Daphnia pulex: one gene and its partners. The protein of the gene in region 3 purifies or fractionates together with the protein of the main gene of each other region. This does not show direct contact. Links are inferred from orthologs where the notes say so. Each region holds a gene or a part of one and is shown on either strand. Other genes may lie near its edges.

Evidence for each region.
Region 1: the proteins of 26S proteasome non-ATPase regulatory subunit 14 (region 3) and large proline-rich protein BAG6-like purify together in Homo sapiens (affinity purification with mass spectrometry; 3 studies listed by BioGRID, with this or other methods). This does not show direct contact. The link is inferred for Daphnia pulex from reciprocal best matches to the Homo sapiens genes PSMD14 and BAG6.
Region 2: the proteins of 26S proteasome non-ATPase regulatory subunit 14 (region 3) and proteasome activator complex subunit 3-like purify together in Homo sapiens (affinity purification with mass spectrometry, with the first as the bait; 3 studies listed by BioGRID). This does not show direct contact. The link is inferred for Daphnia pulex from reciprocal best matches to the Homo sapiens genes PSMD14 and PSME3.

Annotation. Positions count from the first base shown.
Region 1 is NC_060023.1:11,636,122-11,647,482, reverse strand, and holds large proline-rich protein BAG6-like, read left to right. Parts: upstream 1-5,880; 5' UTR 5,881-6,146; coding exon 6,147-6,215; intron 6,216-6,284; coding exon 6,285-6,402; intron 6,403-6,471; coding exon 6,472-6,624; intron 6,625-6,686; coding exon 6,687-6,915; intron 6,916-6,974; coding exon 6,975-7,416; intron 7,417-7,478; coding exon 7,479-8,360; intron 8,361-8,428; coding exon 8,429-8,683; intron 8,684-8,758; coding exon 8,759-8,956; intron 8,957-9,020; coding exon 9,021-9,120; intron 9,121-9,178; coding exon 9,179-9,309; intron 9,310-9,373; coding exon 9,374-9,847; intron 9,848-9,925; coding exon 9,926-10,082; intron 10,083-10,155; coding exon 10,156-10,361; 3' UTR 10,362-10,364; exon of another isoform or gene 10,365-10,537; 3' UTR 10,538-10,945; downstream 10,946-11,361. Other genes in the region: WD repeat-containing protein 5, read left to right, coding at 2,421-2,516, 2,600-2,696, 2,770-2,933, 2,996-3,085, 3,148-3,287, 3,366-3,516, 3,587-3,667, 3,727-3,814 and 1 more; transcriptional adapter 1-like, read right to left, coding at 4,244-4,327, 4,394-4,559, 4,630-4,988, 5,056-5,343, 5,403-5,439, 5,499-5,566. UniProt on the Homo sapiens protein: ATP-independent molecular chaperone preventing the aggregation of misfolded and hydrophobic patches-containing proteins.
Region 2 is NC_060017.1:6,929,237-6,939,860, forward strand, and holds proteasome activator complex subunit 3-like, read right to left. Parts: upstream 5,091-10,624; 5' UTR 4,983-5,090; coding exon 4,962-4,982; intron 4,721-4,961; coding exon 4,688-4,720; intron 4,547-4,687; coding exon 4,398-4,546; intron 4,336-4,397; coding exon 4,167-4,335; intron 4,092-4,166; coding exon 3,921-4,091; intron 3,863-3,920; coding exon 3,674-3,862; 3' UTR 3,560-3,673; downstream 1-3,559. Other genes in the region: pancreatic triacylglycerol lipase-like, read right to left, coding at 1-3, 66-148, 209-263; leucine-rich repeat extensin-like protein 3, read left to right, coding at 775-1,488; myeloid leukemia factor-like, read left to right, coding at 1,772-1,815, 2,141-2,375, 2,438-2,521, 2,604-2,805, 2,870-3,101, 3,177-3,252; protein-methionine sulfoxide oxidase mical3a-like, read left to right, coding at 8,209-8,259, 8,318-8,425, 8,507-8,575, 8,655-8,794, 8,866-8,963, 9,031-9,099, 9,165-9,333, 9,390-9,678 and 4 more. UniProt on the Homo sapiens protein: Subunit of the 11S REG-gamma (also called PA28-gamma) proteasome regulator, a doughnut-shaped homoheptamer which associates with the proteasome. 11S REG-gamma activates the trypsin-like catalytic subunit of the proteasome but inhibits the chymotrypsin-like and postglutamyl-preferring (PGPH) subunits.
Region 3 is NC_060022.1:5,168,734-5,179,442, forward strand, and holds 26S proteasome non-ATPase regulatory subunit 14, read left to right. Parts: upstream 1-954; 5' UTR 955-1,125; coding exon 1,126-1,218; intron 1,219-1,297; coding exon 1,298-1,447; intron 1,448-1,506; coding exon 1,507-1,723; intron 1,724-1,783; coding exon 1,784-1,896; intron 1,897-1,960; coding exon 1,961-2,161; intron 2,162-2,225; coding exon 2,226-2,387; 3' UTR 2,388-2,448; downstream 2,449-10,709. Other genes in the region: ATPase inhibitor mai-2, mitochondrial-like, read right to left, coding at 252-392, 455-563, 639-697; uncharacterized protein LOC124196063, read left to right, coding at 4,645-5,261, 5,984-6,646, 7,367-7,658, 7,725-7,790; ARMADILLO BTB ARABIDOPSIS PROTEIN 1-like, read right to left, coding at 8,710-9,336, 9,421-9,798.

The DNA of each region.
Region 1 (11,361 bases), on a different chromosome or scaffold from region 3:
TACGGCGCATTAGAAGTTGACATGTGATAGTGACCAAAGTTTTGCTTTTTAAATGACAAAGGCGACTTGGTACAAAGCCGAAGCATTTTGCCGTCAATTTCGGATGACTCTGGCAGATGTACCGACGGACAAAGTAGAATGGATTAAACACAAAGTCAACAATCCATCGGCCGTCGATGGAAAAGGCGAATGGTACTGGACTAGCGCGACGGATCGTTTCGTCCGCGGTCAGATGATTTGGATGAATACTGGCCAGCTATATCAAAATCCTAATAGCAGCAGCGACGCAAGTGAATTCGAGTCTTGCCTGAAATTCTCCAGTAAAGGAGATTTTTTATCAGAATCCTGTTTCGAGGAGAACCATTTTCTTTGTCAAAAGTTTCTTGATTTTTTCCCGCTTAATAGCCGCAATTTATCAAAGACTTGACTTGAACACTGATCACCTGTGTTTTATAAAACAGCAATTATTACACGACCATGCGTTTGTAATTTGAACGAGTTCTAATACAATTTGCATCGGATCTTGTTTCGTTCGGGAAAAACAAAACAAAGGCTAATTTTTAAAATCTCGACAGGAAATTACATTGTGGTTAACCTCACTTCCTGTAATCAAGAATAAGTGTGGAATGGTTCCATTTGTTTGTTTTTTCAAGTCACTTTAGAAAATCCCGTCGCTCAAGAATGATTACAACCAACGACTGTTTCTACTTTTTGAGTTTCTCGTTCATCGTTTTCTTGATGGCCAGTTTGTGCGTGATAGTACCAATTACACCTGTTAGTGCTGAATCCACGAGCTTTTTACAAGAAATTGAAAGTCTCGAGGATGAATATTTTGCACTGATTGAAACGGTAAATCATTTAATCTGTAATTAGTCGTTTTTTAAATTAATTTTCTTTTTGTGTTAATATTAGATTTCAAAGGAGGATCACATTAACGATATCCTGATTCATGGTATGAATGGTTAACTTCTTTTTAGTTATTCACACTCACCTTTCTTTAATTGATCTTTTAATTCGCGTAACAAGGAACTTGCCCAAAACATTTCACGGCCAAAAAATTTCGTTGTTTGAAAGTAAACGGCGAATGCTACTGCATCGTCTCTGAAGATGTATTATAAAACACATATAGAGCAGTCTCATTTAAATGAAATTCAATCACTTGTTGGGTTACATCACTAATTATTTCACAGAGAAACTGGTGGAGTGCTCTCCATTATTGCCGGCAGTACGGCATGGAATTGCTGTCGCTTGAGACGAAAGAAGAAGAAAACAATTTAGCCAAACAACTCAAAGCAGAGAAAAAAAATGGTGATCACGGAAATGTTCTTTACAAAGTATAATTGAATGAAATCTAATTTTCAAAATTTAGTTCAAAAACAATTATACTTGACATCCGGTAATCGTCTTTACGGCAATCGATCAACTTGGATGTGGGCTGGTACAGGCGATATTCTCACGAGAGAAATGAATTGGCAAGAGGGAGAACCATCACGTGTACATGGAAGTACACAAGAAGAATGTCTAATTTGGGTTTTAACGTTTAATGAAACCCTCCTTATTCATGAATGGAATGACTTGAGTTGTACCGATCATCGTTACTCGTTTATCTGTGAATCTAAATCTCTACGACATAGTGCTGATATTTTGAAAACAAATAATTAGATCATTAGATTAAAAGCATTTTACCGTTTACTATTAAATCACATGACTACTCTTGTGTTATAAACGACAAATACGTCTAGATTAGTAGTGAACTACTTATGGTTGAAATGAACATGTTCACCCCATTTCCACTAAGCTTGCGCATGAGATAAAACCTGAACGAGGAAACTCGATTTTAAATTTCAAACTCTTGGCGCGAATCCAGTCTAAACTTGGTTAGTTAATCATAGATGTCGCTGATCAAGTCGACGCCATCTGGTGGACGTTTGGCTCAACACGAGTAGTAAACCCGTGCTGCCGAAAGCGTTGTCACGAATGTTAAGTGTTGCGTTTTGTTGGATTCTCACGTTTTGACGGCGACTTTAATTGGATTCACTTATTACACTATTTGTGTTGAGTGTTTCAGTGTTGCTTGTGACAGTTGGTGAAGAAGAAGAGAACGACCATGTTCTTTATTACCGCAGTTCAGTGCCTGTAATGCAAAATATTATTAAGGCACACAGCTGGGCAAATCTCGTGCGTACCTTACACTAAATAAAAGAAAGGTGTTGAGGCCGTCTACGAATCATAAGAAAAATTTGCAAAAAAAACAAAAAATATTAATACAGTTTGGATAGTTGCCAAACACTGATTAACAATCCTGTGCCAGTGTAGCAGCTGACTGTTGAGTCCACTCATCACTGTCCAGGAAAACATTGTAAATTCGCTATTGTGCTTGAGATTCAAGTATACTGTTGGCAACTTCTTATTTAATCAAAATGGCTGATGATAAAATGAAAGGTGATCAGGATTTTAAGAACCACAGTAATAATTCAACTACTTCTCCTCTTCAAGCAAAGCCAGCATCGGGGTTGGTGAGTAACCCTTCCAACCCGGAATTTTCAATTCTTACAGCATTTTAGGATAAAAAGTAATCTTAATTCAATATTGTATTTAGAAGCCAAACTATGCCCTCAAGTTTACCCTAGCTGGCCACACAAAAGCTGTGTCAGCTGTGAAATTCAGCCCAAATGGAGAATGGCTTGCAAGTTCATGTAAATATTTTGATGGTGTATGTTCAGGAGAATTATATTTCTAATAATGTTATAATTTTTTTATCATGAATAGCTGCTGATAAACTGGTGAAGATTTGGGGTGCCTATGATGGCAAATTTGAGAAATCAATCACAGGTCATAAACTTGGTATCTCAGATGTAGCTTGGTCTTCTGATAGCCGCCTGCTTGTGTCTGCCAGTGATGATAAAACCCTCAAGATCTGGGAACTGAGCTCAGTAAGTCTTTAACCATTTATTTGTGATGTTAGCTCATCTCTAATTCATGTATGTTCTTATAGGGGAAATGTTTGAAGACATTAAAAGGACACAGCAATTATGTTTTCTGTTGCAATTTCAATCCCCAATCCAACTTGATTGTCTCAGGCTCAGTAAGTTTTCAACCACTCGCCTTCTTTAAAATAGGCTATTGACCTTTTTGAATTGTTTGCAGTTTGACGAGAGTGTGCGCATCTGGGACGTCAAAACCGGAAAATGTTTGAAAACCCTTCCTGCCCATTCAGATCCCGTATCAGCGGTTCATTTTAACCGGGACGGATCTCTTATCGTTTCGTCAAGCTACGATGGCCTTTGGTATAATCGTGTTCATTTTACTAAATAAATTCGACCTCTTAATTTTATCGATTGGTGGTGTTGATCACTTGTTTACAGCCGCATCTGGGACACGGCTTCCGGCCAGTGCCTAAAAACGCTGATCGATGATGACAATCCTCCCGTCTCGTTTGTCAAATTTTCACCCAACGGAAAATACATCCTGGCTGCAACTCTCGACAACACACTGAAGTTGTGGGACTATTCCAAGGTGTCATCATGAATTCAACTCTAAAGATTTTTGCAGATTTTACCATTCTTTTTTCTTTGGCTCGTTTCAGGGCAAATGCTTGAAAACCTACACCGGCCACAAAAACGAGAAATATTGCATCTTTGCCAATTTTTCGGTTACTGGAGGAAAAGTACTGCTTTAACAATCCACGTTTCATTCTTTTACTTGAACATGTTTTTCTTTCTGCAGTGGATCGTTTCCGGCTCTGAAGACAACATGGTTTATATTTGGAACTTGCAAACGAAGGAAATTGTTCAGAAACTTCAAGGACACACCGGTAAGGCTTCCTACCGGGGGACCTGCTCCTTCTTTCACATTTAATTTGTCTAGACGTCACACGCGAACTTATATCCCTTCATGTTTCATTCTAGATGTCGTGCTGTGTACTGCATGCCATCCGACCGATAATATCATCGCATCTGCTGCATTGGAGAACGATAAGACTATCAAGCTCTGGCGTTCCGACACGTAGACCGCGCATTTAGCTTTGTCGCAATGAACCAACAACAAAAAATAATGGGAAAAAAGACGATGAAAAGCAGTTTTGAGGTGTGTACTTTATAGGAGAATTTTGAGGAAAAAAAAATGCAATTTCTTGGTATAAAAAAGTTTCCTGGCATTCTTGACTTCTCATGGCCTCCTCGTCGACAATACAAACATCTTTTTTTTTAATCGTTATAATTTCTTTAAGCAAGTAGATTCGAGTTTAATTGGGGTGATAGAGGCGCTGTGAAATGCGTTCCATATTGACGGCGTGCACTGTGTGCCAGGGAATGACGCCCTTTTTAACCTATTGTTTATTCAATAAAGAAACATGAGGATTAGTTTGAAGTTTTGAAATTAAATATCGACTTACTTGTAAAGTTTGAAAAACGTCAAGAACGGAAATCGGTTGAAGTGCGGTAACTTGTTCGGTAGTGCACGCTAGGTAGAATGCGGAATCCCGCTCTGCTTTCTGAGATGTTTGGGGTATGGCAGGAACGTGAGGTGGTTCCGCAGCTTGCGAAATTTCGGTCAGATAACTGATTTAAAATGAGAACACTTAGAAACATTGTTGTTGAAAAAGAATAGGACTGTACAATAAATATTTACCTGTTACTGGTACTGTCTTGGATGGACCATGAATTGTGTAGCCACGGATTAATTGTAGGTTGGCCAACCGAATAGATGACTTTGTTCTCTCGAAGGCGGTACCCTTTCCGGTTTGTTATGATAGCAATTATCAGTTCTTTAAGAAATTGCTTGGTAGCTGCCAGTATCAGTTTGATGGCTTTGTCTTCACAACCATGATCCAAACCAGCATCCCAAGCTGCTACTAGCATTCGACCGTGAACGAGTCCAGCGTCAGGTAAAATTAGATCCTGGCTGCAGTAACGAAGCTGTGGTTTCTCTACAGTGCAAGGAGCAGAAAATGGTAACAGAGAAACTGGATTCACTGGTTGGAATCGATTCTAGATAAGAAAAGAATTATGTTAATCAAGGTCTCCAATGAAAATTCCAATAATTAAGACATATTACATCAAAGTTGACAGTGAGAGGCTTGTTCTTTGGGTAAACTTGTCTTGTCACAGTGATCGGTTTGATTTCAACAGAATTACGTTTCTGTAGAGGAATGGTATGTGGTCTGATTTTGTTCACTTCAGTGACAACAATTGGCTTTTGCTTCACACCATGATAGACATAGGTTGAAGGCTGGCACAAGCTTTGACATTTTGTAACAATGGCCAAAAGAAACTCATTGTGAAGATGAACTTGGTCTACTTTCAGGTACAATCTGGCTTGGCGATCAAACTCTTCTTTGCTTGTCTAAATAGAGAGAATGTCAGTTATGACTGAATGGATAGTATAAAAGAAACATTTCTTACCCTCATACAAAACCACGATTTCAGGTGGGCAAAATAACTAAATAAAACATGATATTAGAGATATACCACCACAAATATCAAATCTGATTTATTTACTTCTTAGAAGAATCTCCCAAAACATCCACCAACCGTTTCCTGGCTTCGTTAACATCAAGTGCATTCATTGTTGTTGTGTTCTGACTTTTGAACTGCTTCGCTCACTTTTTTAGATTTAACTCGCCATTGGATTTCGTCTACACCTGTCTTGCCTCGACTATCGAAAACCACCAAAAGATGGTGCTCATTCCAGGAATTGATTTTCATAAAATAATTTTTTCCTTGAATTTGTCATTGATAAATATAACGTGTAAAATTAGATAAAATCTTGTTCGTAAAATGTACAAATTATCATGAAATTGAAGTGAATTCCTCTTTTACGGTTTAAAACCAAGAGAAATAGGTGGCGTTGTAACACAACTTGGTTCGTAAGCCTATGAATTGTCGGCTGTGTCGTGTCGTGTCGATTCGATGTGGAGACAGTTGCGCCTCTATTTGTTATCGTGTATTATTACAGGCCCGATTTCCAGTTTTCCACGTTAGAGATTTACATTTCGACACCCATTACACAACTGACGTCGGTTCAGAGCCGTCCGGTTAGATCGGTAAAATAAAAAATACTGAAACCGAATAATTATTATTAGTGTGTCTGTATCGTCACCAAACTACAGCGAGGTTGGAACTCGAGGTGGTGAAAGCTAAACAAAAATGGCAAATATTGAAGTTACCGTCAAAACCCTCGATTCGCGTAATCATAAATTCACAGTTTCAGAGGAGGTAAGACCATTAAAAGAAACGACTCGTGAGTTTTAGATAGGGGAAACTAACTGGATTTCTGTTTTGCAGCTCACAGTCAAGGAACTTAAAGAACACATTGCTGGGGATGTAGGAACACCAGCAGAGACTCAGCGTTTGATTTACTGTGGCAGAGTTCTTCAAGATGACAAAAAGCTCAGTGAATATGGTAAATTGAAAATACTCTTTCCTAGCTCAAAACAAATGATTGGCATGTAAATGTTTTTGTGTTTTACAGACCTGAGTGGAAAAGTCATTCACTTGGTCCAGAGAGCACCTCCAACAGTTGGTAATCCTCCTTCAGGACCACCAAGAACTCAAGGATCTAGACCAGGAAACATTCACTACCACCTAGACAGAGGGTTTCAAAATGGTGCCAATCATTCATTTGGTAAATTTCTCATCATTATTAAAAGTAGAAATCTCAATAACAATGTTTACGATCAAATGAAGGTTCAGTACCAGCTCCAGCCGGAAGTAGTTCTCTGTTGCGTTTGAATACAGCCAGACACATGCTGGAGGATGCCTCACAGAGTTTGGGAAGGATCAGTTCAGTTCCCAGCACTGGTTCACTCTTTACAATGGATAATACTGCTGAGGGACCCTACTCATCCATACAAATGGTTCAAGCACAGGCTGCCACTGCTATAGCTGCTGCATTTTCAACTGTTCAATCCTTGGGGTAATGACAAACCTCCAAACTAAAAAACTAAAAATGTTAGTTACGTTTCTTTTTATCAGGGCAAACAATATTGCCGTGTTGCAAGGACCTAATGGATCACCAGCAGTTCAAGGATCGTTTGGTTTTCGGGTGCAAGGGCCTCAACCAAATAATCCACCAGAGAGTGGCAGTGGCGCGAGCGAACGCGTAAGTCCTACAGCTCCGACTTCAACAACACCCCCTTCAACAACTCCTCCTTCAACCACCCCATCTGCAACTCCTTCGTCGGCTCCTTCGTCAGCTCCGTCGTCAGCTGCAGCTCCTCCTGGTGACCAACAACCTCGACAACAGCAAATTCGAAATCCTCGAGTGTCTGTCTTTGCCGATGTCATCGAAGATATGGAACGGATCCAGCAGGATCTTCGCCCTCATTTGACAACCGTCCGTCAGCTCCTCAGAGATGATCCCGTATTGGACAGCACATCACCTGAATACCGGCAAGCACAACACACCTACAACCAGGTTCAGTAAAATCATATTATATTTTCCTTTCCATGTTTTTCAATTGATTTTTGATCCAAAAGGTAGCCGAAGGATTGCACTTTTTGGCCCACGCTTTTCACGCCATGAGCGATTTAATGGTTGACTTTGGAACTCCCCCTCCTCGTGAAGTCCGTGCTAGACCCTACGTCTACCAACAAGTTCTTTCATCGACCATACCCATTCACGCTTCAATCAGCGTCGAGACTACACATACCCACCGAGCTCCTCAGACACAGGCTAACCCAGCAGCTCCTGAGGCCGCTACAGCTCCTCAACCGCAACCAGCGCAAGCTCCTCCGCGATTGCCCACAAGAATATCTCCTCATGAGTTCATCCGACACGTTACCCGCCCACCCACTGCAGCTACTGCTGCCAATCCATCAGTTCCTCCAACTACAAATCCGACATTTCATGGTTGGCGGGCTGCTGGAACGACCGGAACGGGTGTAGCTAATGCATCGGCGCAGAATCCCCCAGCTCCAAGAGCCTCAGTCCAAATGCTGCACCCTGAAATGCTGGTCAGGGGAGGACCGCACCCGTTTGGACGTTTGCCTTTAGCCATGGCGAGTCAAGGAGGCTGGACCCCTGTCAATTTAGGTGGTCAAATGCATCCAATGTCGCTCTTTATGGAAGTTCGCTCGAACAACAATCAACAGGAAGATCAACAAGCGTCTCGTGGGCAATCACCAACATCTTTGGGCGAATTTGACGACTTTTTACCGTGTCATTCTCGACATGTTACCCGCTCGTCTTCATCCAGACCCGACACTGAGCGAGCCAGACCACGCCCAGTGGTTGTCACTTCCACGTCGGCGGCACAAGCTTTTCCCGGTCTCAATCAAACCCGTCCACCAGGCCCTGGAAATCAACCGACAGCCGTTCCGGCCTCCGTCGACGAATTTATGAACGAAATGTTTCGTCAGGTAATTGCGGCATTGAAAATTGCGAGAGGAAAACATTGATAATGATTGGTCATTAAATGGAAATTCAGGTGACGGCCAATAGCGGTGTACTATCAGGCGGGGTAGTAGCAGGTGGAACGAGTGGTGGAGATGGATCCAGCAGCCCTAATCCAGTGTTAACCAACGCCTTGTTTAGTAGTTTGCTCCAGGGAGTCATGCAAGAAGTTGCGGGTGTGGTGAGTGGCCATCAGTCGCCCAACACGGTGGCCCATTTCTTACGCAACATTCCTGATTTCACTTACACGGCCGGCGAGTCGTTCCTCTTTGACCTCTTTATGACTATGGTGAAATTTACCTTGACGATGATGAAACGATCCATTCAAAAACTAACAGCTGACCTTTATTTTTTGACTAAAAAGGCGGATCACATGACATTCCGTGATTTGATGGCCCTATTTTACGGAATGCCGGAGGCTTTGAACCAGATGAGAGATCATTTGAGGAATTTCGCTCGTCAACGAGTCTTACCTTCCGGTGGTGACTTTTCAGACCCTTCCGTCCGACAGGGCATCATGACACTGGTCAATCAAGCCATGCCCTTACTCCAGAGTGCTGCCGTAGGACACGATTATTATTATTACATTTTTCATTTCAAGTATTGACTAAATTGTCTGGTTTTAGGCCGAGGCCAGCATTCGTCCCGATGTGGATTTCGTCGCTACCATGGCCCAATTCATCCAGCAGTGTCTTCACGAAGTCATCCAGTTAATTGGAATGCCAGGTATTATTGAACTTGTACTTGACGTTGATAGCTGATTGACTTTTCTGTTTTGTTTAAGGTGAAAATCCGAATTTCGGCCAACTGATGATGGATAAAATCCGCCGGACTTTAATACTCGCTGCAGCTTTAGCCCTCAATTGTTTCACCGATGGTTCCACTAGTCTTGAACGCGTTTTCCTATCTCAGTTGGTAGGATATTAAATGAATTATTATAATGAATTGAGGCGCTAATTGTTTTGTTATTAAAATGTAGCGTGGAGTATCGGATGGAGTTCATCCAGCAGTCCAAGAGTGGACGACAAATTCGTCGATCGAACGTCTTCGTTCACTTTTGGCTTCCGTCGATTTGGATCAACTGACGCCAACTATTGAGCCCATGGTGATGAACACGGAACGCGGAAGGACCTGGACTGCCCTTTTCAATGCAGAAGTGGAAGAGATGACCGACACAAATTCACCGGCCGCAGCGACCGTCGTTGCTCCCGAGTCTGTTCCCCCAGTGGCTACTGGATCGACGGCACCAGTTGAAGAAGAACCGATGGATGTGGTAGAAGAGAAGACGGAAGAAGCAGCATCCGCACCAGTTTCTGCACAGCCCGCAAGACTTAGTCGACTAGAGAAACTCCGCCAAGATGTTCGTCAAAAGGAATCCAGCCAAGTGAAACCTCCAGAGCCGGTCATTGACGTCGTCATGGGCTCTCAGTCGTGGCACAACGAAGTCCCACGGGTCAGAATTTTTAGAAATCGTTTTTCATTCCACCCAAATTTTTAATTAATTTTGTTTTTAAATACAATTTTCTGACAGGAATGGGTACCGGTGATTGCCCGTGATATCCAACGTCAAAATCGAGCTCCGCCAAATGTGCCGCTCAGTGACGCCTACCTGGCCGGAATTCCCAATAAGCGACGCAAGTTGGCCGAAGGCAATCGACCCAACACAAATCCTCAGTTGCTCCTCCAGGGTAATTAATTCATTCATCATATTTTATACAACGTTTGTAAAACCCTTTTTTTTTTTAATTTCTGAAATGTTAGAAACGATGGAACGCGCCCTGCGTTCTGCCAACGTCTCGTCGGCCGCCGTTGGTGAAGTAACGAATGTGGCCACTGCCAATGTCGAAGTGGGCAGCGCCCTTTTGCCGGAAATCCGCCGTTTGGGCAACGCCAGGCTGGACACGGACGCCGATTTCGATGCCGAACGTTTCCCTAACGCAGAGCGATACTTTCACGGAAACACTTAAAGAGTAAATAATAATAATAATAATAATAAAACAAAAACAACAAAGAATCGCCTCCACCCTGCCCTATTCTCTACCCCCATATAATTAATTAATCGGCCATTTTTCATGTTTTTTTTTCCCTTCTTCTTCTTCTATTGAGTCGCCATGTGTTTTTCATTTGTTCAAATTCGATGTAGGTGGAGTGGGCGATTTCGATCCTAATTGACTTCGATCGAATCATCATCATCTGATATAAAAAAAAGTAATAACTTTTCTTCATTTTTTTCCCTCTCATTGTTTATCCGTTTGTTTTCCGCCCATCAGCTTTTTGATTTAGTGGTTCCCTCTTCCTAAATTTTGTTTTTCTTGTAAAAGATAAAAATCAACCAAATGTTGGAAAGTTGTGCGAGTGTCATCAATATTTTGATTTCCCTACATTTTCCCGTCAATGGCCATCAACAAACTTTTTTTCCCCTTTTCGCTTGATGGCATACCCACCATAAACAAAGACAATTTTCTTTGCAATTTGGATTGTTTTTTTTTTTGTCTGCCTAACACGGAAATTGATAGATGATTGATTGAATAAAGATTTCTTTTTTTGTTTAGCTATTTTTCACCACTAGGTGGCGCTGATTATTTCATTTTGAAACTAAATGTTCTTCAAAAAAAAACTAGGATTGAAGAAAACTCAACACACACAATTTGGTTTTCCCTTTTGACATGTAGGAGGAATGGCTTTGATTAAAGAAGAGAGACACCGGCAGGGTTTGTTGACACACTTGACTTTGGGAGGTCATGACGGAAGTGATGGAAAAGAAGGTCTTCCCAGCAGCATCGGCAAAAGTCATCAAAGGCGATCGATTCATGGCCGATTGATATCGTTTGATGGAGGGAAAGATTTCTCTAACTTTTAATTGAATTTCCTATGGAAAAACCTTGGGATGTCTTGGATGACTCCCGTATGTTATTCATTATTGAATTCATGTGCTCCATCCGAAAGGGATCAGTTTTCTTCAGTTCC
Region 2 (10,624 bases), on a different chromosome or scaffold from region 3:
CCACTGTAAAATTCAAACAAATTATAATTCAGAGAATAATAATTAAATAGACGAATTTTTCTTACAGGTTCCGCAGTAGTGAAGCATCCCAAATCTCCGTAACAGACGGTTTCACTGGCTTTGGAATCTCCTTTAGTGATTGCCACGCCTATTTTATTGAATAAAAATTAGAAATGAACGAATTTAAAAAAAAAATCAATTATATCACCTGCTGAGACGGCAGCAATCACCAAACTCAAGACAAAATAGTTTAACACACCCATGACGGAACAACGTATGTCGTGAAGTAAAATTTTAAAAAGTCCAACTCCTATCTCTTATATTTTTTGTGGGGATACCTTGATATTTAATCTTAACAAAAAATTGATACGCTAATAGTTATCAATATCTGCAGACAACGCGCGTCCTTTGTGATCCCTTTGGTAATAGGAAAACCCACGTCTATTGAAACCAACAACAAAACAGTTGTTATGATATGCGACCAAGAATTTTGTTTTAAGGTTGGAGCGGAAATAATTCTCCTAAGCCACGATCTCACGAGAAAATCATGTTTTTATTAGAATTCCTTCACCAGTCGTTTTCAAGGTAATTTGGATTTAAATGGAATTATTGGTTCCCTATAAATAGAAGCCGAACTTTATTAGCTTCATCAGTCGAAAAATTCACCTTTGAACGGTAAGTTATTAACAAAATTTTTTGTTTTGTTATTAGTCTGGTTGACGACACAATGGCGTAACTATCTGATAGTCACTGTTTGTTTTTCTAAATCAGGAAATGAAACGCTTGCTGACTAATCAGTTGCTATTCTTCTTCCTGGCTGCTGTTGCCGGCCAAGATGGCTCAACTCCCGAAGAGGTTTGTCCCTGTCAAGCCGAGGATTCGTGCCAAAACGATCGTCACATTTTCGGTCGTGACGAACTAGACATACAAAAATTCGGACTTATCCCGCCCTGTCGCAATTCTGGCGAAATTCCATGTTGTCCACGTGATCCGCCGCCGCCCAAAGAAACTAAATTGACGCAAAAAGATCTTGAAGGCTTCTCGCCGGCCGAGCTCGCCCAATTAGGTATCATGCCCGAAGGTACCATTGGATCCTCTTCGCTACCATTAGCTGAACAGCCGGAGCAGTCCAAGGTAATCCAAGACATTCAGCAACCGATCGATATAACGCAACCAGGCGCAGCATCGATAGCTCCGCACGGCGCAACGGGTTTCGCCAGCAGCAACGCTCCAAAAGGACATCCTCCTCATCAACAGAAATTACCATATCCTGTTCAGCAGCCGAATCCGCCTCCATCTATGATGCAGCATCGACCTCCGCCTCCTATGATGCAGTATCGACCTCCGCCACCACCCCCACCCGTCTATCAAAAACCCGTTTACCCCACCTATTACACTCCTCCACCTCAAATGTATCGTCGTCCCGTCTACAATTACCCCCCGCCCCCGATGCGGCCGATGTACAGACCTGCTTATCAAAGGCATTAGTCCCGAATTACTACCTGCATGAAAATATTAAATCTCGGTCGACTTTATACCAATGAGTTGTGAATACAATTTATCAGATCGTTGACCGTATTTCAAATTTCAATTTCCTGGTATTTTCTATATTTGTATTTCGCAATTTGAAGCGTCAATGTTGTTGATTGGCAACGGTGTGGTGCAGAGCAAAAAGAAAAATCCATTACGTTACTGTTACTGACATTGACTGCTTTAGTATTATCCTCTGGTGCTACTGTCAAGGAATCTATTTCTAAATTGACTTACCAATATGGGTTCATATCTCCGGGACTATGGTGAAGATCCGTTCTTTGCGTGAGTTTCTTTCCATTCCTTGGCTAACCAAACAGTAGAAACGAACAACCTGAGGCTCAATTATCCGCTCATTCTTACCGTTATTTGACATTTCCCTACGCCCAAAACATGCAACTTTCTTCATTATTACCCCAAATTTCCCATACTTTCGGATTTCCTTCCCATGGTCTATCATTTCCTGGTTGTAGAAACTCAGTTTCTTGCCAACTGTGCTTCGAGCAGCCCACCAAATCTTACAGCTTTCATCTGAATTTATTCTCTTGTACACTGTTTGTTTGCTTTGTTTACATTTAAAATTACAACAACTAATCTATTGAATTTACAGAGGTACTAATCACTTGATGCGACAAATGGATTCAATGATGAACTCAATGATGGACCCTTTTGCAAGTATGATGTCTATGCATCACCAAATGATGGGCATTCAACCTCCTCCTCAACAACGTCACCCTGCTGGCGCAATGGTTCCTTTTGGAGGAATGCCTGGATTCCCTATGGGCATGGGCATGAGTATGGATCCATTTGGAATGCCATCAGTAGGACAAATGTTTCAGAGCTTTGTAAGTTATCACAAACATTTATTTCACCAAAACTGACTTACCAACAAAATTGTATTGTGTAGGGGCAGCCTGGATTTGGAGCCAGCCCCATGTACAGCAGCAGTTCTGTGATGACAATGACAACTGGCCCAGATGGGCAACCACAGGTAACTTAAAAAATAAAATTGTATTCATATTTGTCTTCAGACAAGCACTGATTGTTTAAACTTGTTTGACGTCTGTTATTAGGTCTATCAAGCTTCAACTACCACTCGCACAGCTCCAGGAGGTGTAAGGGAAGTTCAGCGTAGTGTAAGCGATTCACGCAGTGGAGTTCGTAAAATGGCTGTTGGGCGACATTTAGGAGAGCGAGGCCATGTTGTCGAAAAAGAGCAAAATTGCTACACAGGGGACTCCGAACAAAGAGAAGATTTCATCAACATTGAAGAAGGTAAGTTTGTGATGTTAGAACAGAATCTCTTTCATTTCTTAATTTTCTAAATACCGTTTAATAGAGGAAGCTCACCAATTTGACGAGGAGTGGCAAAGGAGAGCTCGTTCTCACCATCACCAAGGCATGTACGGCCAATCTCGCATTGAAATGTCACGTCCTCATCATCATAATCATCATAATAATCATCATCAATCTAATTCTTCCAACTACATGGGAGCACCTTTAGCTATTACTGCTGGTCCTAGCCATGAAATTGATCCGCCCAGGTCTCGTCACTCAACCAATTCACGCGGGTATCCAATCTAAAACATACCTGAATAAAACCATTCATATTTACTTACGCGTTTTATGTTGTGTTGATTTAAAAGTGTTGGCCCCGATCGGAATGCAAGGAAGAGAGACGGCCATCGTACTGGAAAGAGCCGCCACGAGACCTCAATGTAAATCTCCTATAGGAAATCGTTTTCAGAGGAAAATCAAATCACAACTCAATAAAGCTCCAAAATCGCCAAGTCTGACATGCACGTATTTTCCTGCAACATGTCCCACCCCTCCTCCCAATGAAGTGTTAAGCGTATTCTTTCCTTTTGTCTGGCTTCTCTATTTTACCTTTAACACCAGTTTTGTTATTTTAGAATCTCACTACCATCGTACGGTGAAATGAAGAAATCTCCACGTAACCCTTTTAGTCACATAAAAATAGACGAACACAAAATTCGTGGTCGGTGTTGGAAATACAAGAACACACAACTGAATTTCCATTGACTTTTTAATTTATCAATCATGTGTTTCCATCACCAATAGACAGGAAATCGGATGGAAAGTCTCGGTGAAAACCCACAAACAAACGTTCATCAAAATGAATTTAATATAAGTTGTCCACGTTGGAAGTACGTGGTTTCTTAATTTTTTCTAAATTCTTCATAATGATGTCGTGTAGCGTTGAGTAATGATTCCGGATCTCACACATCACCAATTTTAAACTAACGTATTCCTTTTCGTCAAGTTCTTCGACAGTTACTCTGAAATCTTCAACGTGGGGGTATTTTGTCACCTATAAATCAAAAGTATAATTAACTTTTTTAGCAACGAAAACAAACTAAACATCGTACCTTTGTTACGATTTTGCCTCTTGTGATAAAATATCGGGAAATCTGATCAAAAAAGGCTGCGGCTTCAGATTCGACTGTTCTTATTTCAGCTAACATATCTTCTTGAATTGAGACTCCAAAGTTGTTTCCGTCTTCAATTTTCGGAATCAAAAAAGAAATCCACATTTTCAACTAAAAACAATAACAACAGATTAGATATCAACTCTCCAATGATGTTAAAAACAGTAGAAAATAATTAATCTTTACCAGGTTTGCATCTTCAACCAAGTGCCATATGTAGGGCTTGACAATTTTGATCATTTGTCTTATGTGAGAATTACAAGGAACAATTCCTGTGGGTAGCACCAGAACAGGTGTTCCACTGGTAACTTCATCTAATTTCCTCTTTTTGGTTTCAGTTTCACAGCTGTCATGACTGAAATGGAAAAAAAAGTTATGGGATTTTTCAACTAATGAATGTGAGTAAGTAACAATTACTTATTGGAAATAATTGGTGAGGGAACTGGAACTTTAAGATCTTCATGAACTTCTTCGAGATTTTTTGTGCTAAAAAGTGGCGTGGCAAGAAGATCATTCAGCTCCACAATCTTTCTGGGGAATCCATTGTTGATAAGGTCCTCTGCCTGCCGATAAACAAATACTAAAGGAGCACAAACCTTGTGTACACTTTTAACATAAAAATTTCATGCAAAGCAAACCCATTTATGAACGATAAGACCAATATTAGTATGCCCAAACTATCTGTTAAACACAAAGTTGGTGCCAACCTGTTTCTTTACTGTCTCCTTGTACTGCAGCACCTGGAAAGTGAAAGTAGAAAACTTCTATGATCATCACTATTGAACAAAATCATTTTTTCAAGCGTTTTTTTAGAAAACAATTGTCGACGTTTACAACCTCCAACTTCAGTCGCAAGTACCATCAGTAGACAAAATGAATTTAAAAACTACATATTTGTAAAGAAAATCAAAAGCCGAGTTTCTATCATGAAAAATTGAAAACAAGCATTGCGAGGCCACGCTATACAATTATTTTTCTTACTTTTGAAGCGTTGTCAACCATTTTCTTCACATAAATTTAACCGGTTAACGATTAACTTTTGTGCTCAGCGGCCATGTGTTGCCAACGTTGCCTCATCTATCGAGACTTTTTTTTCGTATTCATATTTCCAGATATTTTTTATTTCATTCTCTCTTCTTCGTTTTTGTTTATCATTTATTCATTTGTAATTTCTTGGTTGCTATTGTCATATATTTTATAATTCTGTATTGGATTCATCGTCGTAGAATTGTAATCATCAATTAATCCGATTAATCAAGTTTAGGACCGGACCTGCAAAAAATGCTTTCGAAATCGAAATCTAAAAAAATGTCTTTAATTTTTCGGAATGGTACTGAATTGGGATTCTGGGAATTCCTATTACCTTAATGAGAATAACAATGAAATTATTAGTAACCGTAACCGTTTTCGTTCACTCGGTAACACAGCGGTAAATTATTTGAAATAAACTTGGACATAATTTTCAGCCGTTCCGTCCAGTCGTGGTGGATGGCAAGAAATCTGTTGGCTTTTGCTATATCAAGCAGCGGTCGATCTCCTTTCTCTACAGATTGTAAAATTCTTTTAAGCGCGCAGTTCAAATCTACTAATTCAAAGCGCCATCTATTGAGGGCAATGGGCAACTTTCATCCGTAGGTCGCAAAAAAAACCTATGGACAAAAAAAGCGAAACAAAATGTGAAATCGTCGGGAATATTAAAACATCAAAATTTCATTACCATGTTTAAATCGTTACAGACATATCTCGTTACCGCCACATAGTAATTCGTAACGCTAGCAGTCTAGAAGCCCTACAGGCGGCAGCTCTCTGAATTCTCGATTTCTAAAGACTGGAGTCCAATGGAAAAAAAAATCCTTATTGTGTGCAGTTAAACAAGAAAAAAACTTAATGTTTTCTAGGTCACCACGAGTGGGTAAACAAATCGAAAACGAGTTTATCTACTGCTATAGCGCAATGTATCCTCGTAATAGACTGAAGTTGGCGAGTTGCGTAACAAATTAGTCGAAGCCCAGTTGGGTACAGTATCCATTCCGTTTACAAGATCAACATAAACGAGTCTTATTTTTGTTCTACCGGAGTATATTCGTGAACAGCTGATTTTAAAAAAAGGGAAAAACGATTAAGAAACTGCAACAATAACAAATGCTTTTTTCTTCTGCAAAGTCAAGAATTTTTAGCGCGTGGAGTATATGCTAGAGACGTCATTTGTGGATGTCCCCATTTTTTTATTGACTCTTGGCTAAAATTATACTGCAAGTTATCCCAAGAATTATACATTACTTTTAATTTTAGTAGGATACTGTTAATGCTGGAATTTTTTAGTTTTGGCATGTGTTTTCTGGTTTAATTAAGAAAAAATGTGTAAGGAAATTGAACTGCGCACTCCAAGAAAAGTTTTCTAATAACAATCCTCAAAGACTTCCAAATATAGTTGTTTAGTTCTTGTCCAACTATCTCGTCCTCAAGTTCGAGTATAGGTTTCAACAATGGCCTCGCTTCTTATCTTAAGTGGCGAAGCACATTAAGAGCCTTTAACAATACTCTTTTGCATTATTATTGGTTCCAATATTGTACAACGTAAACAATGGAAAAACATAAAGAAATCGTGAGCAATTATCGATGGCGAGCTATTGTATCATGCAAGGTCATTCAAAAAATAATAATCTCAAGTTGAGGGTAAAAACGCATATTTCTCCAAGTTTAAAAATAGAATATAGCCCAATGAGATGGGCTTGCGCTCCTGCGTTTTCCAGCATTAAAAACATCCATATAGAGCCCAACTATTCTGATTTTGACGGCGAACAGAAGTCTCTGTAGAAACTTTTTCGTTGGATGCAATGGACGGGATACGGTAGAAGCGGTTAAAACTACGGGGGCTGCTTCTAATTTTAGAAAGAATACCCTGGTTCCGAACAAGACGGCAGCAGCAACAATCATTAGAGCAGCGTCTCGACGCGCAAAGGGCTCACGTTGAAAGAGCTTTCTCACCCCGTCGACGACGTTCCGCCCTCGCCACTATATTCGTGTTTTCTCTCTTTGGATCGTGCTGTCGTGTTGTTTTCGACGTCGTGTCCGTTTGAGGTGTGGTAAATTCCATCTGAAACTTAAAATCAATCCAGTTTACAGGATTGTGTGTGACGAATCTTTTGTTCAACAGCATTTATTCAAGTGAGTTTTTACTTCTTCTCTACTTCAAATCAACGTTTGAATGAAATTGCTGCTTTTTTTTGAAAATTCCACCCGTCACCGAGTCAAACTGTGCGCATCTCGATTTACGATTTTCCAACTCTTCACAATCCTGAAATGATAAGATTGTGTAGACTTTTCTGACCCCCACAAACATAAAAAGGGATGCGACGATGTGAAGGAAAATATAAGAATTTGTTTAGTTAACCCCGCAGTAACAGCTTAGTCAGAACACACGACGGACTCGGATAAATTTAGCTTGCAGTCGGGACAATATACACACTTTGGCATTGGTTGTTACATGGTGCGCGTGAGTATTCGGTCGACAAGACGAGAGCCAGCCGAACGCCGGTTTTAAAGCTTTCTGCAGTTCTAGAAGTTGAACGTGTCACAACTCGTTTCACAGTCATTCTTACTAGCCTACTTGAAGTACTTGAAGCTGCCATAAAACTGCCATCTGGGATCAGTTGTCATAAAGTAAAACGCTGGTTACGTAAGAAAATCTTGTTACGAACATTTTTCCATATTTGTAGAAGTGTCAGTTTTTTCTCTTCGGAAAACAGCCTACCTAATATTCATTGAAGTGTTACAAGAAATTCTTAACTTTATGAACGATTTTTCAAGACGACAGCGACGGTTAAAAGGGAACTTGTATTGTTTCTAATTTCTAATCTTGTTTATTTGTTACTTCAACTAATTAGTCTAGATATAATGAGGTTAGCTAAATTTAGAAATTGTCTTTTTTTATTCGTTTCTTGCGAGTGTCAAATTGCAACGGGAAGTTTATTAGGGATTTGATTTAATTTGAAATTGTAAGTCGAAAAATTCCAAATAAGGAATTTTTCCGTTTGGCAACCACGCTTAATTGTTTACACTATTTTGTTTTGAAAACGACTGAGCTTCTGTGGAGTTTCTAGTCTGTTTCCACTCTAAACATCCACTGGAGTGTTGTGTGTTACATTTTCAGTTTATTATTGGATTTCATCATGTCATATTTAATACAGGTCAAGCATCCAATCAACTTCTTTATAAGAAGAGAAACATGGATTCTGAAGCTGAGACTGTTGTACTGGAAAACATCATCAACTTACAAGTAAAGAAAGATTGATGTCTTAATTAAAAGGAAATTACTAAATTATGCATGATTTTAGGTAGATGAAAACCAAACAGAAGAAACTCCTGTAGTCGAAAAAAAGAAGAAGAAATCTACTACCAAAAAATCAAAGAAAACAAAACAAGATGTTGCTTCTAAGACAACGGTACAGTTACTTTCTATTTACCATGATATATTACTGCTGTAGGTATAAGCCAATATTAAACAACTTTTTTCTTTTTTTTAGAAATTTGAAGGGAAAAAAATCCATGTCCGTTCAGTTGATGCAGCACAGGTCCAGCAGAAGTTCAATAAGGTAAATACAGAAATAGAAAGACTACTATATTAGTGACCAGTTCACACACACAAAAAAACATATTATGTTACTTTTACAGGTAGCATCTGATGCTGATGCCGCTACTACGCTTTGCAAGCTTTGCAACAAGCAAGTTTTTCAGATGGAAAGAGTGAAAGCTGAAAAGTTGATTTGGCACAAACATTGCTTCAAGTGCACTGAATGCCAAAAGAATCTAACGTGAGTAGGCATATTATGTGAGTTCAAATCAGTTCATAGAAGTGTTACAACTATTTAACTTTAATAAACAGGGTAGACACATACAATAGTCATGAAGGACTCATTTACTGCAAGCCTCACTTTAAACAGTTATTTCAACCAAAAGCAGTTCTGGAATCAGATGAGCCATGTAAACGCGTATTTAATATCGTAATTTTAAAGAGTTTTAAATTGATTTTGCATTTTTAAAATTTCAGATTATCTAAAGCCCGAATTGATTATCAGAGAAAGTCAGCCCATAGAGCTACCGGCTGACGTTGTGCGAGGTATGATAAGCTTAATTTAAATTACATTATGGAACAGTAAAACACATTAATTATTACTTATATAGCAAGTGAGACGTCTAATAGTTACGGCATGGACGAGTTAACAAACCTAGATCTCAAATCTAGATTTACAATCTTTGAGCGAGCCTCATCAAACTCGCAAGCTGACGTGGAAATTAGAGAAGATCACAAATCAGTGAAACGTTCTGAGAGTATTCTGTCACGACTAGCTCGGTAGGCTAATTTATGCTGTTTTAGCAAATATCATTTACACATCATCTTCCCTATAGATTTGATCGTGATAATGCCACCCTCAAGGGCGAACTGTCCAAATCCTGTGGTAATTTAGACATCCAAGATTCGTCTTCTGAAGGTGAAGAAGGGTACATGTACGACGATGTTGCCGGCAACCGCTTGTCTTCTTATTTGGGACCGGATAATTCCGTGAACTTTGGTTCTATATCCGACATCAAATCGAAATGGGAGGATGACAAGAACGGGTCTCATTTCAACAGGCGAGAAGAATTGGCTAAACAGCGCAAGGAAGAGCTCAAGATCCTACGAGCTCGACAATGCCAAGTATTCGCTTTAAAATTATCGATTGGAGTCATGAAATTATTTGTGTCTCTGTCATTCAAGGGCCGGCAACTTCGTTTGAAGGAGCAATACGAGCAGGCCACTCAAGAAGGAAAAGATGGCAAAGAATTTCATGTCAACGATGCCAATGTTGATCCGGAAAAGATTAAGCACATTAAAGATATTTTTGAAATGGGTGGCAATGAGGAGAAAACTTCAGCAAACAAAACGTCCGAGCATCTGGTCGATCCCGAAAAGCTCAAACAGTTGAAGGGAATGTTTGAAAGCGGTGGCGAAAACTTTGGCGAGAAACACGAACGCCATGAAGAAGTGATTCTAGGAGGTAACTCACATTTTATACAGCGAATGCAACATTTGACTGTACACTTTGTAATTTTGTTTTTAGCTGTTACCAAAGAGGCCCGCAACATCTTTAAGCAAATGGAGGAAAATGGATTTCAAGATAAGAATAAACAGAAACGAGTAGGATCCGAATAGTTGTATAATTATGTATCTTTAGTTTGGAATTGACTGGAACTCGTTTTGTGGATTTCAGGAGCAATATGGGCTGGAAAACAAGGATACTTTTAAAAGCACCTCAGCTATGCTAGACTTGTTTCGTCGACTTGAAAAGGAGCCCGACGCCTTCAGAGGTAACATTTGGCATTCCTTGAATGACAAATTTTGTCAATTTTAATCTTTGACGGAACGCATTCTTTTGTAGATAATCGCGATGAAGATGATTACGACGAAGAAGAGGAAGAAGGAAGTGACGGAGAATATTCAGATGATGGGCAGGGCTCCGATAACGAAGAGGAAGAAAATGTACCTGTTGGTTTGACTCCTCAACAACAGGAACTTTTACAAATTGTGAGTCAAATAGATTTTTTGAGCACGTTCCAGAAAATGGAGGGTGGAATTGCACAAGAGCGCACGTTCATGGTCGCCT
Region 3 (10,709 bases):
CAAAGGTTCTTTTATATGTTGAAATTCATTTGAAGTCTGTTTTGTGTATGGCATTATGTCCCCTAAGTAAATTAACCTGTTGAGTAATATTTTAGGGCATAGGCTGTATACTTCCTTCTACAGTATCAACATCTTTCAGGGAAATAAATAGCTCAACCATAAACTAGAATTGTATTTTAGGATATACATTAAGGCTACACATCCTTCCAGAATTTTGATATCCTTGCACCACACTCAGGCATATCAAACAATTAGGCTTTCTTTTTCTGCTCCAACTCTGTGATTCTCTTTTGATGAATGTCAATTGCATCCTGATGTTCCTTCATGCGTTGCTGATGAAATGTTATCTCCTCATCAAGGTGAGTTTTAAGTGTTTTCAGCTGTTCAGTTTGCTACCATCCATATAAAAAATCAATACAAGCTATACATAAATTGTAAAAAAAGATATTTCTACCATTTTACGGAAGTATCGTTCCTCATCAGCGGCTTCCTTCTTTCCGAAAGTTCCACCAGCTTCTCGAATGGCACCAGCTCCACCATCTTGGCTGTAATAAGCTAAACGACTAGAAAAGGCAAAACAAATGACAATTAATTCACGTCACAAAGGTAGAATGCTCATTAAAATATTAACTACTCACCTCATAATGGGTATATTACGAGAAAGCTTGAGCGCTGCAACAGATCGAGTCAAAGCCATTTTGTTTTGATGAGTAGACTCGGTGATTCACAAGTCAAACAACTGATTTACAAAGAGAATTCGTAACGACGTCAGACAAACGATCGTTTGGATTTCTACAAACGTCGCAATCGACCAAATAAAATTTTTATAATAATTAAAAGATACATCTGAAGAATAAAATTTCTTACAATAATGTATTCTCTTTAATGGAAGATCTATATTGATAATTAAAAACTGGGTTTGATAGAAACTGATAATGAAACATTTTTCATTCATTGTTGGGCAATGTTGCTAACCAGCATAAACCCGTCGAAAAACGTTGCGCGGAGCGTGAATTGACTATTCTGTGACGGAAGGATTCATTGTTTTTACCGGCCGTTCTACTACAAAGCAGTTTCCTTTTTCTTCATTCGAAAAAAAGTTTGAACTAATAATTTAAAGAGATAATGGATCGTCTATTACGGCTCGGTGGCCCGATGTCTGGCCTCGGACAATCTGCTCCGCCAACTGATGCACCGGTTGTCGACACAGCCGAACAGGTATGACAGATTCGTTTGCATTTACAATAAATTACTTACTATACCTATTATAATTGTTTTCACATTTTTGTTGTAACAGGTTTATATTTCTTCTTTGGCACTGTTGAAAATGCTTAAACATGGACGAGCTGGAGTTCCAATGGAAGTCATGGGACTTATGCTTGGAGAATTTGTTGACGATTACACAGTCAGAGTGATTGATGTATTTGCTATGCCTCAGTCAGGAACAGTATGAAACCATTATCATTTATCAATTTTGCTCACAGTAACTTAACAAACTTTATGTAGGGTGTCAGTGTTGAAGCTGTGGATCCAGTTTTTCAAGCTAAAATGTTGGACATGCTCAGGCAAACTGGCCGCCCTGAAATGGTTGTTGGCTGGTACCATTCCCATCCTGGATTTGGTTGTTGGTTATCTGGTGTAGATATCAACACACAGCAGAGCTTTGAGGCCTTGTCTGAACGTGCTGTCGCTGTTGTTGTTGACCCTATTCAAAGTGTCAAAGGTATTACAGATTTATTCATTTTTTTTTTTGCAGTTGTAATAAATAGTTTTTTATTTACAGGCAAAGTTGTCATTGATGCATTCAGGTTGATAAATCCAAACATGATGGTATTGGGACAAGAACCTCGCCAGACAACATCAAATCTTGGACATTTACAGAAACCATCAATTCAGGTGTGTTTGTTAGATTTTACAAAACATTAAATTCTGCAAGACTTTTTAATGGTTTTTTCTCCAGGCCTTGATTCATGGACTTAATCGCCACTACTATTCAATCAGCATCAACTATCGAAAGAATGAACTCGAACAAAAAATGTTGTGGAACTTGCACAAGAAATCATGGACCGAGGGACTATCGCTAGCCGAATACGAGCAACACTGCAAAAGCAACGAGCAGAGTGTTCGCAGCATGCTCGAATTAGCCAAAACTTATAACAAGGTAAATTCTGAAACATACCGGCCTTTGTTCGTAATCAGATGTTAAAATGATGTGTGTTGGACAGGCTTTGGAGGAAGAAGAAAAGATGACACCCGAACAACTCGCAGTAAAGAACGTTGGCCGTCAAGATCCTAAGCGTCATCTAGAGGAGGAAGTGGATGTACTGATGACTTCTAATATTGTCCAGTGTCTGGGAGCTATGCTTTCTACTGTGGCTTTCCGATGATTTACTTCAGCTGACGCACCTCTCATATCTATCCGATGAATACAATAATTCTCAAAAATCATTATTTTACATGCGAGTAGACCAACCAACCACGTACAGGATAGAGAAAATGGGTCGATGTCATAAGTGGTAACCCCCCGCATTCAAACCTTTCAAAAAAAGAATCGTCCAAACACGTCCTACTTGGTGTTTTCATTCGGATTCGCTTGCAATACAGCTTCAAAAGCTGCCATCGAAAAAGCCCCCCGTTTTCTGATCCCTTTTTAATGCACTCAACTTGGAACAGCGCAAGAAGGGTAAAAGGGACTAGTAGATCTTTGTGATACAGATTATATCGATCACCCGGAATGAAAGGAGCAAAATAAAACCTAGACCTGAAATAACTCTACGCGGATTTAGGAAGGAAAAGCAGAATGTGTGGTGAATGAAATGGCGTGGTTGCTCAAGATTAACAACGCGCCACCCACTGAGCATTTTAAAATAAACTCGAGTTGTTTGTGCTACGTGTTTAATGGCCTGCTTCTCGTGCTGTTCTGGGCTATTAGTGCATAGGGCATGAGCCGTGAAAAAAGATTGTCTCAGACAGATCGCGGGTTTTTTATGTTGTCGTTAACAAACGCGATCCTGCCAACATCCACATCTGTCCTTCTTGCCTCTGTATATATCCGTAAATGTTCCGACCTTTGTTATTTAGCCGAGCGAGTTAATATAACTACGGTTTCCGGTTGCAATGAGAAGAAACAATAGCTAGCAGGGCTGTAATAATAGATAGAGATATGTTTGCAGCAGAGCCCCCGCACAGACTTGCTGTCGGGTTGCAATGCAGTCCGACCTATTGAATAATTGAAAAGCAATTCGTTTGGCTGCGTGCGCAGGCTGTAACTACGCCGGGATTACAAGGATAAAAAGAATCTACTATAAATAAATGTCTGTAATAGAAAATAATAAGGAACCGCGATGGCGTCTTACCTGGATCGATGACGCCAAAAAAGTAAAAAAAACCTGCAAAAGGGACGACACAGTATACGCAACCGGTGGCGGCCTATAACGCGGACTGGCCAGCCAGGGCGCCGTCGCTGCTGCTGCGGCTAGATCTTGATGTATATGTGTTCTGCCCCCCTATTCTTTACCCCTCTTTTCTTGTTAAAGGCACTTGCTGGTCTAGTACGTGCGTTCAGTTCGGGATTGGACGTCATTCCGACGAGAGCGCTTGGCGTCGCACGCCCCGCGACGCCGCTATCCACACAGACCAAAACCGTTAATCAATCAGCAACTTTTTGATATCCGCCTAGCTGTGTGTCTGAACTATTGTGCCGGACCTCCAATCAACATCATTCCTCAACTTTTGGATAGTAGGTAAAAACATAAAGAACAGTAGGCATAGAAACGGACGAGAGATAAACAAAAGAAAACCACTATCCATCGATTTTCGATCCGACTTAATGGATAACACGCGGGCGGCGTGTACAGGATTCATCCATTTGAATCAGCCGCTATCAAGATTGGCCCACCTGTCAAAAAAAGAACTAATAAGGAAAAGTCATTTTCTTTTTTTGTTGGGGGAACAATTGTTTGGCAACATTTGTGTGTGTATGTGTGTGTGTATCTCCAGCGAGATCTAAACTTGGCTTGGCTGCGCAAGTTCTACCCTTCAGACGTGGATAGCGGGAAAATCCGTGAGAAGATGTTCCAACATCTGTCGGGGAGGAACGACTCCATCTATCACGAGGCTTTGAAGCACGAACCGAATAAGACGAAGAATAAGAAAGAGTATTTTCCCACGTTATATTTATAGCAGTGGGCGGCTGCTACCCATTGAATGGCGTGACCCTTTTTTGAGTTTTGACATTAGTCTCTTTCGTGTTTTTTGTTTTCGGCAATTGAAAAGTGCGCGCCCACGTAAAAATTGAAAAGCCGCTTATTTCAAATTGTAGAAACTGGCCGGGCGAAATTGCAAATACTAAAATTCACTTTGGCTGGGAGCAGCCAACCAAATAGCTCGGCTGTTCTTGGTGGTTTCGTTGTAAAATCAATGAAGATGCATGGTTATATTATGCGAGTAGATCATGCCATCTGAAACTCGCCGTAATGGCCGTAATCAAAACGCATCGACCCTGATGATGAGTTTTTGTTGTGTTTTCCTTGCAGTATCATAGTTCGCCCGTTTTCCGGCCAGCAGCAGGGCAGCGGACAATGGATTGCCGCCGCCAACTTGGAAACGTCGAGTAAAAGTTGATGTGAACGAAGAATCTGATTCATGGCAGACACTCGTTTGCCGGATGTGGTTCCGGCTAAAGATCTGGCGTCAGGCAAGGAAGCAGTCGAACTCATGTCCGGGAGCAGCGCCGCTCAGCTCAACAGTGATAGTAGTCAAGTGGGAATGCCCGATTGGCACATGACGGTTCTCAGTGCTAATGAGGATCATCCGTCAGATACGCCGATAGTGCACATATGGTCCAGTAGCGATTCAAACGACTCGAACGATTCGTCTCTGCTGGCCAAGCCGGAAGAAGTTTGCTCCCGTCTGGAGCATCAGATTGAGCACCGGAGCGATAGCCAACTCGGCTCGGATTCCGGCATTGACTCTCAGCTGGCGAGTCCCACCGTGATAGACGGGGGTTACAACAAGTTGCAAGAACAATCTGCCTTCGTATTGGACCTGTCGGCGAATCACTTATCCGTGCCGAGTCGGATGAAACTAGGCAGCCTGCGCAGCAGTCTAGAGAAGCACAACCAACAGCAGCAGCAACCAAAGTTGAACGAAGATGAACCCCCCATCGTTGAAAATAGCGTTCACGGAACTGGAGAGCAGAGAAACGATCCGTCACCAGCTAAAACTATTCCAACTTCGCCCAGATTTTTGCCACAGAAAAGGTCAGCATTATTATTATTATTCTTAAAATTCCGCCACTTTTTTTTTACTTTTGACGTGCTACACACTTTTGAAACTAACTTGTCACAAATGCCAGTGCGCTAGCCCTACATCTGTGTCAAGTAAAAATGCATGTACTGTAGTAGATGCTAGACAAAATCAATATTTCCTTATGAATGTTTGATGTGGGCGGTGAGACGGCTAGTCCCCGACGGCAGCGCTCATGGCCGGGGTATACAAGTTAGACATCAAACTAGAGAAATAACAGGCAATTAGGAAAGCAGCACGGATGAATTGTTGATTAGAATATGGGGGGAAACGTTTGACTGTGCTCCACAACGGATTTGTGCGAAACTTGTGTCTATTGTTCAAATGCACAGTGCTGCTGCCCTGAGGAGTCCATCATTATAAACTGAAAGTTGCATCTTGTTCAATTTCTTGTCTTCTCTCAGGAGAGAGAAAAGCCCATAGCTTTGTTGTGCTGGGCTGTTTATTTGTTTCCTCTTGAGCTAGAACGCGGAGGCATTTTCTAAAAATAAAAAAGGCTCTTTCTCTCTCCTCCGCGTTCCAACAAACGGAAAATGTAAAAAAGTAGGGAAAAGAAAAAAAGGCAGCCATCAATTTTCCATTTGACCTAAATATGTTAGTATACCCCTACGGATGTGGCTTGCCGCTAACAGAATAAGGATCGTTTTGTGATTTTTCCCCTCCCCATCCTATATAGGCATCACCGGAACTTTTTACCAGTGGATTACAGTCTAGACGGCTGGCAGTCACCACGATCGGACAATTTCCTGAAGATTCGTTCGTTGCCGAGTGAATGTGAGCAGCAGACGGAGATGGAAGAGACAAACAGTTTGGCGGTCAGCTGGTCCGATACTAGCAGCACTCCGATTACGACAAATTCCGGCCGTAAACAACAAACGACAACTTCGTCACCCAAGATCTGCGTTCAACGGGATGCTCACGTCGACCGGAGTTTTCACGAAGGCCAGTCGTCCATCGTCAGTGAACGCAGTTGCAGTTACGACTCTCAAGAATCGTCGCACTTTCTGGCCGATCAGGAAAGCGATTCCCGATGTTATTCTCCTTCACGCAAGCCGAGCTTCGGCTCCATTTGCAGTGACTCGTGCACAGACAACAACATGGACTCGCGGACATCGATCAAGCCGACACGTTCATCTCATCACAATTCCTTGTCCAGAAGTTCATCTTCACGATCGACTTTCCTCTCAGTTCCCACCAGAGTACCTAATCACCTGTGGCTGTCATCCACTTCCGATCAGCATCAAACCGATCACAACAAGGAGCAGCACGGTCAATCCTCGGCGAATTCGCAACTAGGATCCACGTCGTCGCTGATGGCATCGCACTTCAGCCTATCAAAGTATGATGTCATTGAACCCTTTGAACTTTGCGATTTTAGACTTCAAAGGCTATATAGGCCGGCAGAGTTGCCATGGATCGCGTGGGATTGTTTCTACAAAGAACTTTCCAGGAAGGAGAATAAGCAAGAAGGTTATTTCTTGAGTGCTAGGACGTAAATCCGCCGTTGTTTTTTATCGAATTGCTCCAGAAATCGTTTTCGTGTCAATTATAAGAAAACGCACCGGTGACAGGCGTGAACACCACGCCCTGAAACGTCTGTCGACAGACGGCGGTCTACGAGAAATCCGTGCAGACAGGCGGGCAAATCTACGTGCTATCCACGGTCACGCAATCCTTGCTACAAAAGAATCGTGACCTATATATATTCTACTACCAGAGTTGGGTTTAATTGGGTTGCAAGAGATTATAGACTTTTCTTGGCTTTCATCTTTGCACTGCATTCGGTTATTTACGTACAGTATAATCAATTAGACAAGTAGCTAGGCAGTGTTACCTTATTACGACTCATTCGCTACACGATCCTTATAGACTTTTGGGGATGTCGAGACAAATTTCCTGGAAAGTGAATGAACCATGTTAGTAATCATGATTAAAGTTTAGTTAACTGTGTACATAACAAAAGACGGTATTGAGCTAACTATATGAGTATGCGTAACAATGTAAAATGTACAAGGAATAGTAATTGATCATTATCTCGGTGTGCCTGTATGTTAACCAGCCCGTACCTGCGGCTGTGCCTGAACGAAGGCGGAATCAACGACGCCCTGCTGCTAAGCCTTGCTGGAGACGAAACGAACCACCACGCCGTTCTCGACATGTTTGACGATCCTTATTACGATTCGGCAACCGCTGCCGCCGTCCAGTTATCACTCACCCAACGGCTGGCCTTCCCTCAGCTGGTGGAGAATGACCCAGAATCGGACAAACAAAACAATCGCCATCAGCAACGCAACCAACTCCCTAGAGAAGAGGGAAGCCTCAATTTCTTCGCCAAAATCATCACCTTCCTGGTACGCCAAACTTTTTCCCGTACTATATTATACGTCGACTAACTAAAAAGTTATATACAACTTCAGGTTCTCGTGTTCGTCATCGTCCTAGTGGTAGGTGTCCTCGTCAAAATATCGCACACACCTCGATAGCTGACGGCCAACCGATCGATTCTTCTTTCAATTTTTTGTTTTGCGAATAACTGTAAGATACGATTGATTTGTAATTCAATTTTGTATTCTCAATTATTTTACAATGTCCTTGCATTACTCCCTCCCCTTTTGTCTGGCACTCTTTCAACGTTGTTTGGGGGCCTACTAGTGAGGACGGGAATAAGAGAAGCTGCAGCCGTTTCCAGTCAACATGACGTCAATTCACTTCTTCTTCGGCTTTCACGGGTTTGATTCGATTTTGCCGAGCGACGACGAGCGTCAGTGCGTTTCTCATTCAACTGACTGTCATAAGAACGAATTATGCACCGCTCGCTGGAACTTTCTCGCAATATACTGTTGGTTTTCTGTTGCTGATGCTCACGTCCTACTTATGATTATTCTGGTGCTCCAAATGATGAATAATTCCGTCTTGGATTGAACGCGACGACGACGACGGCCAAGGTCGTGTGTTTGTGCCAGTCGGACCAACGAGAAATAACAGTGGCAAGGCACGCCATACGACGACTCTGCACACAAACATCTGACTTATTTCCCTTCGCGTGTGTGTCTTGAAACAAATCGATACGGCGCCTACATGCGTGAGCTCGGCTAGACGCACGATAAGAAACAGCTGCCCCCACCCCAATCCCCGATATTCACGCTATGGCGGCGTGAATGTTGGTGGCTATACGGAAACGCCAATCAGAATAAAAAGCTACCACACTATCCTACATTTAAACAAAGAACCAAACAATCGATAGATATATTTACGTCGTGACACTATTCGTCGTGTTTATTTCACTGGTATAAACTCCGAAAATGACCAAAAAGGAAATGAGCAATAGACATAAATTTAGGTTAGAAATTCAAAAACGGAATAAAACGACTTTGTAACAAAAGTGGACATTCGTCTGTGGGTTTACATGTGAGAGTAGACGAGAGACATCGCCATGGTGATTCGGCTACAGGCCGACACACTTAGACTCGGGAAGAGCTTGATCAATTTTTCACAATGGAAATGAACGGCCGCTTCTAGGAGCTCGTCGACCGAGTGTAACTTGGCCCAGGAGATTAACTGATAAACGTTGTTCATTCGGATGTGTGAAATCAGATAACTAACGCATTGTTGTTTGAGATCTCCAACATCGAATTCGTCGGCAGCTTCAAACAATGACTGGGCTTTGATTTGGTTGATGGAGGACGAAACTTTGCCAGAGTAGATAAAGTGGAGAACGTCTTTGAAAATCTCGAAGCGGATGTGGTGGATCCTGATCTTGCCCTGACCGCCCTGACGATTCGCTTGTTGTATCATAGCAGCGAGCACTAGGCTTCTGGCCGTCAGAATGATGGCGTGTCCGCCCACGCATTGGCCGTTATCAAACTGAAACTCCACATCACAGTTGGTTTGACGAACGTACAAGTTTGTAAACTGCTTCAATGCATTCGTTTCACTTTTACTCGGGGCCTTTGTTGTCATCTCGTTAAACTTGATCCAAATACGACAAGTAATCTCCTGGTCGTAAATCGCCGTGGAACTGTACATCAACTTAAAAACCGATACACGTCATCAGCCATATAAAGTCTAAAACACGACACAAACAAAGACAGACAAAAAACAAGAAATATTTACCGATTGCCATGTGCACCACTTTTCGTTCATCTTGTTTGTCGCCATTTGAATGCTTCCTTCGTCAATGCTGACCCCTACAGCTTCAGGTAAAGCACTGCAAGGTTGACTCGTTTCTTCGTCGATTTCATTGCCTCCAGGAGTAATCAGTTTCAAAATGAAATGAAAACGTAAAGCTTTCTGTGCATTGTTACTAGAATCGTCTTCTTCAAACTGTTCTAAACGAAGCTGAACTGCATTCGCAGCATCACAGTGAACACGTTCAAGTTTGAACCAAGAGGAACGGACTCCCCGGTCATTTGTGGCCTCTGAATCCGAGACCACAGTCTTCCACACAATTTGCGTTTCACCGTCGTTCAGTTTCTTTACATTTATCGACATTCTTTTCTCTGATATTTGCACAAAAATGACTTTTACTTTTGACTACTTTTACTTTTGTCAATTTGATTATCTTGATCGTACTTAATGTTCAAACTCATTAACCATTAACGACACTTCCACCCTTGAGCTGAGTTTAAAGTGGACTGAAATTTGGAGCAGACGACATTGCCAATTTTGACCTTGAAAATGGCCGATTTTTTCGAAATGTCTGAAATGCGTTATTCGTTATCAGTAATATCCCGTAATAATTGAAAACTCAAACAAAATTGTTGATCAAACGAAAAAATACTACAGCAGTTTATTGAGAAATTGTTTTTTATCTTTTAGTCATCCATTAAAGTAAACTGCCATACATAAATACGTCCAACCCACGTTATGATAATCATTTACACTGAAAAACATTCCAAATGCACGCTAGATCAAATAAACGACATGCTGTTGATGATGACGAGATGACTTTTGGAGCTAGTCGTATCCTTGGCTGTGTACTAAAGAGAGATAATAAGCATGAAAACGTACAAAAAGTGGATTACCTTGGGGAACAAAGGTATTAACCTGGAAAGATCGTAGTAACATTCGGCATTGTTATGGGGTTCATCCGTTTTATCGTTTGGTGTTTGATGGGAAACTTTGCGAGATCGGAGAACAAGGGAACATGAAAAAGCCTCTGGAGACGTTTGCCCGTTCTATTACTTGGGGGATGAGGAACCAAATATAAAGTGGATGGCGTCGGCGCCGTTGTGGAATGGAAATGTCTAGAAAATTGAATTCGTGGCTTGGTGCACTGTTGCTCTGCTTAAAAAGTATTGAACCAAAAAGTTTAACGTATTTTACTAACACTTAGCCCTCCCAAAAGTTCCGACACCAAATATCCATTACTGTATGGAATATCCTCTCTGTTTTGAATATAT